Regions from separate parts of the Mus musculus genome. Here region 1 is reported to be linked to region 2. Evidence: microRNA targets listed by miRTarBase, many of them from high-throughput screens and not tested one by one. Region 2 holds a microRNA gene; the other region holds the end of a gene's coding sequence.

Evidence for each region. Region 2 holds the annotated microRNA mmu-miR-1969 (AAGAUGGAGACUUUAACAUGGGU, at 2,764-2,786, shown strand). A microRNA usually pairs through its seed, bases 2 to 8, with sites in the 3' UTR of a target mRNA and lowers its output. Matches are read on the target gene's strand: a 7mer-m8 pairs with bases 2 to 8, a 7mer-A1 pairs with bases 2 to 7 and ends in A, and an 8mer does both.
Region 1: miRTarBase lists Msl1 as a target of mmu-miR-1969. Seed matches in the 3' UTR shown: 7mer-m8 at 2,103-2,109.

The regions. Positions count from the first base shown.
Region 1 is chr11:98,805,024-98,809,087 of GRCm38, reverse strand. It overlaps Msl1 (male specific lethal 1), which reads right to left. Exons shown (of 9, transcript NM_028722.3): 9 at 1,229-3,746. The coding sequence ends at 3,656. The region is part of intron 1 of Gm12359 (predicted gene 12359); the gene reads left to right. Among named protein-coding and RNA genes, the nearest start is that of Casc3, 2.8 kb to the left of the region's middle.
Region 2 is chr8:70,922,778-70,926,844 of GRCm38, forward strand. Mir1969 (microRNA 1969) reads left to right here and starts at 2,748; the gene lies at 2,748-2,841.

The DNA.
Region 1 (4,064 bases), not on the chromosome of region 2:
ACTCTACAGAGAATGCTTTGGGTATGCATTTATCAGCAGTGAAAGAAAACTCAGCACAACTACCTTGCAGCAACATATAGTTTGTAAGCTAATTTATTACTGCATATTGTTAATATACATCAAATAGATGAGTTAAGAGGACTCTGAGCTGTTTTCATAAATAGCTAAAGGTCCCCACTGCTTACCAGATCTATAAACAGTATGAGACTCCAAGGAATCATGACTGTCTGCAGGGACTGATTCAACTGGTGACAGGTGGCCAAATGTATCATGGAGTTCAGCTCCAGAAACAACTGCCTGAACTCAAAATGGAGGATGCATGATTTAATAAGTGTGAAAGGCATAAGAATCTTATCCATCACAATCTAAAATGGTGCAGCAAGACTGCCAAGTTGAGTGTCTAAATAAGGACAAGGATAGCATGCCACTTTGTCCTTTAGTTGTTTGGTCGGAATCCAGCTTGGGATGTTTTTTTTCTTTTTTCTTTTTTTTTTTTTTTTTTAAGAAAATCTATGACCTCAAGCTAGCCTTTTCATCACTCGGGACCCACCAGCTTCAGCCTCCCCAGATGCAGGCTATGAGGGGACAATACCTGTAATCCTGCTCTGGATCCTACTTTCTTTTGTTTTTTGAGACAGGGTCTCATGGAAGCTAGGCTGATCTTGAACCTGGGGCTCTCCTGGCTGTGTGGGTGCTTGGGATAGCAGTCCTCCTGAGAAACAGTTGTGAGAAACGGTCAATGTTTAGCATGAATAGACAGATGGTCTGGGGTCCCACATGAGTCTTATTAGAGAAGTAAGGAGCTAAGAGATTGATCTTTCTATATCATTGTAGTCACAAAACAAGAGCCAGTGCTTTCAAGTTACAATGAGGGTTTTCAAGCATACAGAAGATGTGTGTAGGAAGACACTGTGGTCAAGCGGATCTGGACTTCATTTATCTGGACTGATATCCAGGGAAAATCATGTATCAAACACTGAGTAGGTGACCTATAAAGTCTTGCCTACAAGCTTTGTAATTTGCCATTTATGTGTAAGGAAGGGCTCAGGACAAAGGAACATACAGACACACGCTAGAGTCTGACACAATGGATGAGCCCCTGATTAGAAGGGCGGTGATGTATTTCTCTATTTCACTTGGGTTAATATGAAGATTCTTTCCCATTCTTTCATATATACAAGCAGATATAATGTTTCCCAACAAATCTAATAAAATGAGGCAAAAGTTCAAAAGTTAACGGCCACAATAGTTTATTTACAATTGAACTCTTTATAAGATATTTACAAGACAGCCGACTTTACACATCAGAAATGGTATCAAAAGTATGAATTACAGCACAGACAACGATATGAAACGGGCATAAAATAAAGCTGAGGTGGAGAGACAAGCAATTTCTCTTTTAATTTATTAACACTAGCTTAAACTTTGTTAAAGAAAGAATAAGGAACTATGTTTTCAGAGAAGTGCAGGGCCTCTCTTTCTGCTGAAGACTGAATCTCACAGTGTTGTACCCCACGGAGGGGAAGCAGGTGACTCCCCACGCTCCTCACTGTGCTCTCACCCCAGCCTCCTCAGCATCCCCAAACCAAAGGACATCTAGGAGAGGACATAACCAAATAGTAGGTCCTCAGGGAAAGGAGAACCAAAGCAATAGAATCCACTTCAGTCCTGCCAGATAGCACCTCATGGATTCCTCTCAGTCTAGCAAAAACAGGATCTGAGGACTCCTCTGTGTAGGGCAGAAACCTGGTGGTTAAATCTGTTAACCCATACCCAAATTAGGAATCTGACAAATCTCGTTGTCAAGAAGAAACTGAGAGGGATCAAGAAACGAAGTAAAGAGACAACTGATTGAGGTTATTATTTTTGAGGAGCATGTTATAAAGAAACAACACAGGTCAGAGTAGGAGCACTAAACAGTTGGCCTCATTAAAACAACAACAACAACAACAACAACAACAATCTGGCCCAATCTTTCTAGCTATATCCCCATCCCTAAGGTGTGAGATGAGAGCCCCTAGCGGAGAAGTCCCCTTTCTCTCTACATCCTCGCTGAGGTGGTTTATGGCAGCTTCTGTCACAGAGAGACCACGCTCCTAAGCAGATGGAGTTACAAGTGAAAACCCAGAGCCACACACACACACACACACACACACACACACACACACACACACACACACACACATACAAAGGAGAATTAAGAGCAGCAAGATCATCCAAGAACACTACATGGACTGCTGGAATAATTCCTTTCAAAGTCAAACCCAGGGAGCAAGATAACGTCTCAAAAAAGCTTTAGCAGTGGGAGGCCCCTGAGAACGTCTCTTCCCACAGTGGCAATGCCATTCTCGCATGCTCAGCAGATGGGCCAACCACACACCCTACATACCTTGGCTTCTCCTCTAAAAGTGCTAATAATTTGGGGCCATGTTCTCTTCAAGGATAAGAGCCCTACCCTTCTAGAGATTAGACCCCAACTTGTTTTTATACAATAGTCCTGAAGGCTAGTGAAAGGCAACTCCTATCCAGAAGCCCACAGGCCTCGGCTCCATTTCTCTTCCAGATAGTTAACAGGGATCTTACACTGAGACCAAAGTGGCCTGGGAGTGCTGTCCTGATTTTTTTTTCTTTTTTCTTTTTTTTTTTTTTTTTTCTTTTTTATCTTTTCAGTAACAAAACAAGGGCAGGAGATGGGAAACAAGATGGTTCGTGTATAAATCTATTTTCACTAAACGAATAAAGTTCATTAGGTACAACTGTTTGTTTCAAGCTGTAGACATCTGCCAGGCAGAGGAAGCATATCCTTCCATACCCTACCCCCGGCCCCACCCCAAATCTCTACCTCACCACCAAAAGTTTGGCTAATAGGATCAAGCCCCACTAAGGAATCCTTGAAAAGTGACATGACAGAGACATCTCTACAGACTCTGGCATGCCATCCCCAAATGAGAGCTCTATCGGTTTAGCACTGTTAACTAGTTGGAAACTTACACTCCCAATCTCTTTTCTAAACATCTTCTTTGTTGGGGGTGGGAAGGAACTTCAGTTACCCATCAACTAAGAAAGTGAACCAGCTGCACGTCTCCTCCCACATGCCACTGTCACAGAGCAGTTTAAAGAGAACAAACTTTCAGGTAAAACTCTGCAGTTTCCCCCTCTGAGGAATGTCTTGCTTCATTACTTCATGCTATTCCTCGGGCCCTAAAGTTCACGGTGAAACCTACTACACCCACACTATTCAGAAGGCGCACCAGGGAGGCACGGGGTCAGGGCAGGCACAGCTCCTACAGGAAGGGTTGCTCCATCTTAGACACGCTAATGAAGAGCCCTTTACCCCGTTAGGCAGGCAGGTGAGTTACAAGTGGCCCCTGGGACCCCCAAGTCTCCCCCTATAGGACGAGCTCAAGCTCATCTCCCCAAAATGGGAAAAGCCGCTCCAGTAACCCCTAATTCACAATCAGCCAACGCAAGAGCTTTCTTCTGTTTGTTTTGTGAAATCAGAGTAAAGAAAACAAAACTAATATAAAGGGAGGATGGAAAGGCATTACCAGTGAATGATAACAGACATGAGGGCACAGGTCACACATACAGGTCTCTGCTATTCTCTCGGAACAGCATGCTACAACTATCTGAAGACAGGCTACCGCCAGCACAGCTACTTCCTACAGGTCCGGTGAGGTGTGTGCTTCTTCTGGATCTCCAACCTGCAACGGCTTCGCTCATCCAACCAGGGTAGTTCAAAGTTCCTGGCAAAAAGAAAGACAGCAAAGTGACAAGGCTACTTCCAAGGCAGTAGTCAGCTGACACAGTCACCATCCAAATGGCAATGTCATCTACCTCAGATTAAAGAGCATTCCTAAAGCCGGGCGTGGTGGCGCACGCCTTTAATCCCAGCACTCGAGAGGCAGAGGCAGGCTGATTTCTGAGTTCGAGGCCAGCCTGGTCTACAAAGTGAGTTCCAGGACAGCCAGGGCTACACAGAGAAACCCTGTCTCGAAAAACCAAAAAGAGCATTCCTAATGAGATCTGACGCCTGGCTTCTAGCTTGTCATCAGACAATCATG
Region 2 (4,067 bases):
GAGGCAGGAGGCAGGAGGCAGGAGGCAGGAGGCAGGAGACAGAAAATTCTCTGAATTGACCATTACCAAGGCTATCTGGTCTACATACTGAGTTCCAGACCAGCCAGACCTACATAGTAAGACTCTGTCTAAAGAAATTTAAAAAGATATTTATCTTATTTGTGGGTAGGTACCCAGAGAGGCCAGAAAGGGCATTGGATCCCAGACAGCTAGAGTTACAGTTTCCTTGACATGGTGCTGGGAACGGAACTCCAGTACTCTGAAAGAGCACCAAGTGCTCTTAACTCCTGAGCCAAGTCTATGGCTGCAAAAGAGATGGGGGAGGAGGGGGAGGGCAAGAGGGAGGAGGGAGAGGAGGAAGAAGCAGCCTTTTTGTACCTCCTCTTATCCTCAACCCAGTGGGGTTTGATGAGACCAAATTGGTGCATTGGAGTTAAGACTGGACTCATATTCAGGGTCCCACCTTGCCTCCATATGCTCTTAGCCACATACAAGAACACAGTACACACCCTGGAAAACACATAAGCCCTCTTACTACATTTGCCATTGAAAGTAGCCAATCTGGGGCTGAGGCTCTGTTGAGGTGACTTATATATATATTCTCTGATGTGCCCTAGCCCTCTGGGCCATCATATGTAAAGTAGTATTACTTATAAATAAAAACACAAGCAAGTTGTCTTCTTTTGTCTTAATCCTTCACTGCATTCTGGGATTGTATGGGTTGGTCACCTATGAGGTGCACTATCCTGACTGAAGATGGTAGACACTGAACAGAGACAGAATGTGGGCAAGGCTGGGAACACCCTTCCCATCACCTTGTGAATTCAGCAGACACCAGAATGGGCCTGGTCATACATGTCCCCTGTAGGATTCATGGAGCAGTGTCACAGTCACATCAGCTAGCTTACTGCTGTAAACCATTAGAATAACCTGTCACAATCCCATTTCTCTTCTTTAAAATGCAAAGGATGAAGAGATGTTAGAGCACCCGCTGCTCCTGCAGAGAATTGGAGTTCAGTTCCTAGCACTGACATTGCGTGGCTCACATGCCACTACCTCCAACCTGAGCTGCAGGGCTTCCAATGCCCTTTCTGCCCTCCAGAGTTACCTGCATGCACACTCACATGCACATGCAGTATTCATTTGTTTTTCGAGACAGGTTTCTCTGTGTATCGCAGGCTGCCCTGGAACTCACTCTGCAGACCAGGCTGGCCTCTAACTCACAGAGATCCACCTGCCTCTGCCTCCCAAGTGCAGTATGTGTGTGTTAAAGACAAGTGCTGATAGGAGCCTGGTATGGCTGTCCCCTGAGAGGTTCTGCCAGCACCTGACCAATGCAGATGGGGATACTCATAGCTAACCATCCGACTGAGCCTGGGGACCCTAATGGAAGAGTTAGGGGAAGGACTGAAGGGCTTTGCAACCCCACAGGAAAACAACAATATCAACCAACCGGACCACCCAGAGCTCTCAGAGACTAAATCATCCACTAAATAGTACACACGATTGGGTGCGTGGCTCCTGCTGAGCCACCCAATGTCAGTACATGTGTAGCAGATGATTGATTGGCATTGGTGGGAGGGGAGGGCCTTGGTCCTGTGGAGGCTTGATGCCCCAGTGTAGGGGATGCTAGAGTGGTGAGGCAGGAGTGGGTGAGTGGGTGGAAGAGCACCCTCATAGAGGCAAAGGGGAGGGGGAGAAGGGGGATGAGATGTGGGGTTTGTGAAGGGGTAACTGGGAAGGGGATATCATTTGAAGTGTAAACGAATAAAATGATTAATAAAAAACAACAACAACAAAAGACAAGCATCACCGCTGCCACAGCTTAAACATTTGTTTTAATCATTAAAAATAATTGTGCTTGATATTAGGCTTCAAAGCCAGGACTGTGTGCTGTTGCAATTCTGCCAGCTCTAGCCTGGGCTTTTGCCAGCTTTCACTAATTTAATCTAATTTATTAATTAAATCCAAATCATTATTAAAAACTCATAATAACTCATAATTTCAGCCCTGCACATAATTTTTCTTAATACCTTTATCAAAGGAAATTGTACCTGAGGCTGTGCCATCTGCCTCATGAAATCTGTCACCTCCAACACTCTTTCTCAGGGGCCTAGGAGCACGGGGTCCCAGAAGAGACGGTACCACACAGGACAGAAGACAGCTTGCTGGTGGTCACCTTTCAACACTGAGGACCTCACAGGAGTATCATGGTTCTCTTGTTTAGTGAAAATAAGAAACTGCAGCTTTTGAGTTGCAGGTCAACTCACTGTGGAGCTGCCTTGGGTAACGGCAGCCACTCAGACATTAGAGGTATGCAGAGAGTTACCTTTGCTCATGTGGCTGCCTGGGGTCCTTTTGTGTTCTGAGTGGCTCTGGTCATCCCTCTGGGAGTGTCTAACCTTAGTTGAGATGCCACACCCTCCTGTAGGCTGGCTGGGTCCACTGTACTCAGACAGGAGAGCACATGTGCTAATATCAGCTTTCTGTCACTGTGACACAATACCAGAGACAAATAACTTACACGGAAGAGAGGCTGGTTTGGCTTATGACCAACGGGCCAATTCCATTTCATCTCATGGCCGCTTTGGAACAGTGGAGGATCAGCACCTCCCAGGGAAGAATGGGGCAGAAGGAACTGCTTGCTCACAGCAGTCAGGAAGCAAAGAGAAAGGAAGGGAGGAGGGAATGAGGGAGGAAAAGAAAAAGAGGCAGAGATCGGAGACCAGTGTCTCCTCATCTCCCTGATAGTGCTAGAGGCTGAAGATGGAGACTTTAACATGGGTGCTCTTAAAATCTGTTAACATCCATGCTGCCTCCATTTCTGGTCTGTAGACATCACAGCACCCAGAGGAAGGAACTTGTAACATCCTAATCACGGGGCTGGTAGGTAAGGAGCATTCCCTGGGCACAGGTGTCTTCAGCCTGCCCAAGGCTTTCAGCTGCAGGTAACAGGGACTGACCTGAGCTGAGTGCAGACTGGCTTATGGGTAGATAAAGCGCATTACCTGAGAGCAAATGGAAATGGAATCAAGAAGCCAGTTCCAGTGGCAGAAAGTCAAAGGCTTGGAATGGCTGAGGCCTTCCAGACATTGGTTACACCAGCGTGCAGGTACCTGTAGGCCGGTCAGCTTCTATTCAGCATTATGTGTGTGAAGGGTTCCTCAAGTCCTCCTCAGAGCAAGAAACAGAGCTCTGAGAGCTCAGGCGTGTATTGGCAAGAAAGGGATCAACCACCTCCTTGGAGCTGCTGGAGATTGAAGCATGCCCAGTCACCTAGGAAGTCCCACTGACTGGGTCTCAAGGTCCTATGCTGTCAGTCTTTCTGTCCATTACCTGTTTATCACCAAGAGAGCTTTCCATTTTCCCAGTACATAAGCCTTTGCCACCATCACTTTTTCCAAAATTCAAGTTAATTGTTAATATCTATAAGCTTTCTTCTGTTTATGTCATATGCATCATGTATGTGCACGGCATTTGCATGTGTGTGCATGTATATTTGCAAGTGTGTGCATGCCCAGGGTCAACAGAAGGTCTCTATCTGTTATTCTTGGTTTCCTGTTTTGAGACAGGGTCTCTCAGCAAGCCGTCTGATGCATGTACTCATGTCCATGCAGTACTGAGGTTACAGACTGTACCATCATACCTTGCTGGTGATCCAAACCCAGGTCCTCAGGCCTTCATGGAAAGCACTTTACTGAGTGAGCTATCTCCATAGCCCCGAGATCGGTGTATGATAGTGATTCCCACCTAAAACATCTCTGCTGTCCCTGTAGGCGTTCAGCAATGTGGCAAAGTGGGTCTGAGCAGCCAAAGCTGCTTCTAAAAGAACTTTATGCAAATTCAGTTTTCAGCAATTCCTGTTCATCGAGCTGTGGCCATTTGTTGTTCCTCCCTGCCATGTGCTCAAATGTGGGCTAGTGTTCATTAGAGATCTCAGCTGATGAGAATGTAATTCCACCATTATCCACATCTTCGTAAGTGTTAGCATTTCTTCTAGGCTCCATCCAACAACACTCTGGCTTGCTAACAAAGGACTATTTAGGCTCTCTCTCTCTCTCTCTCGT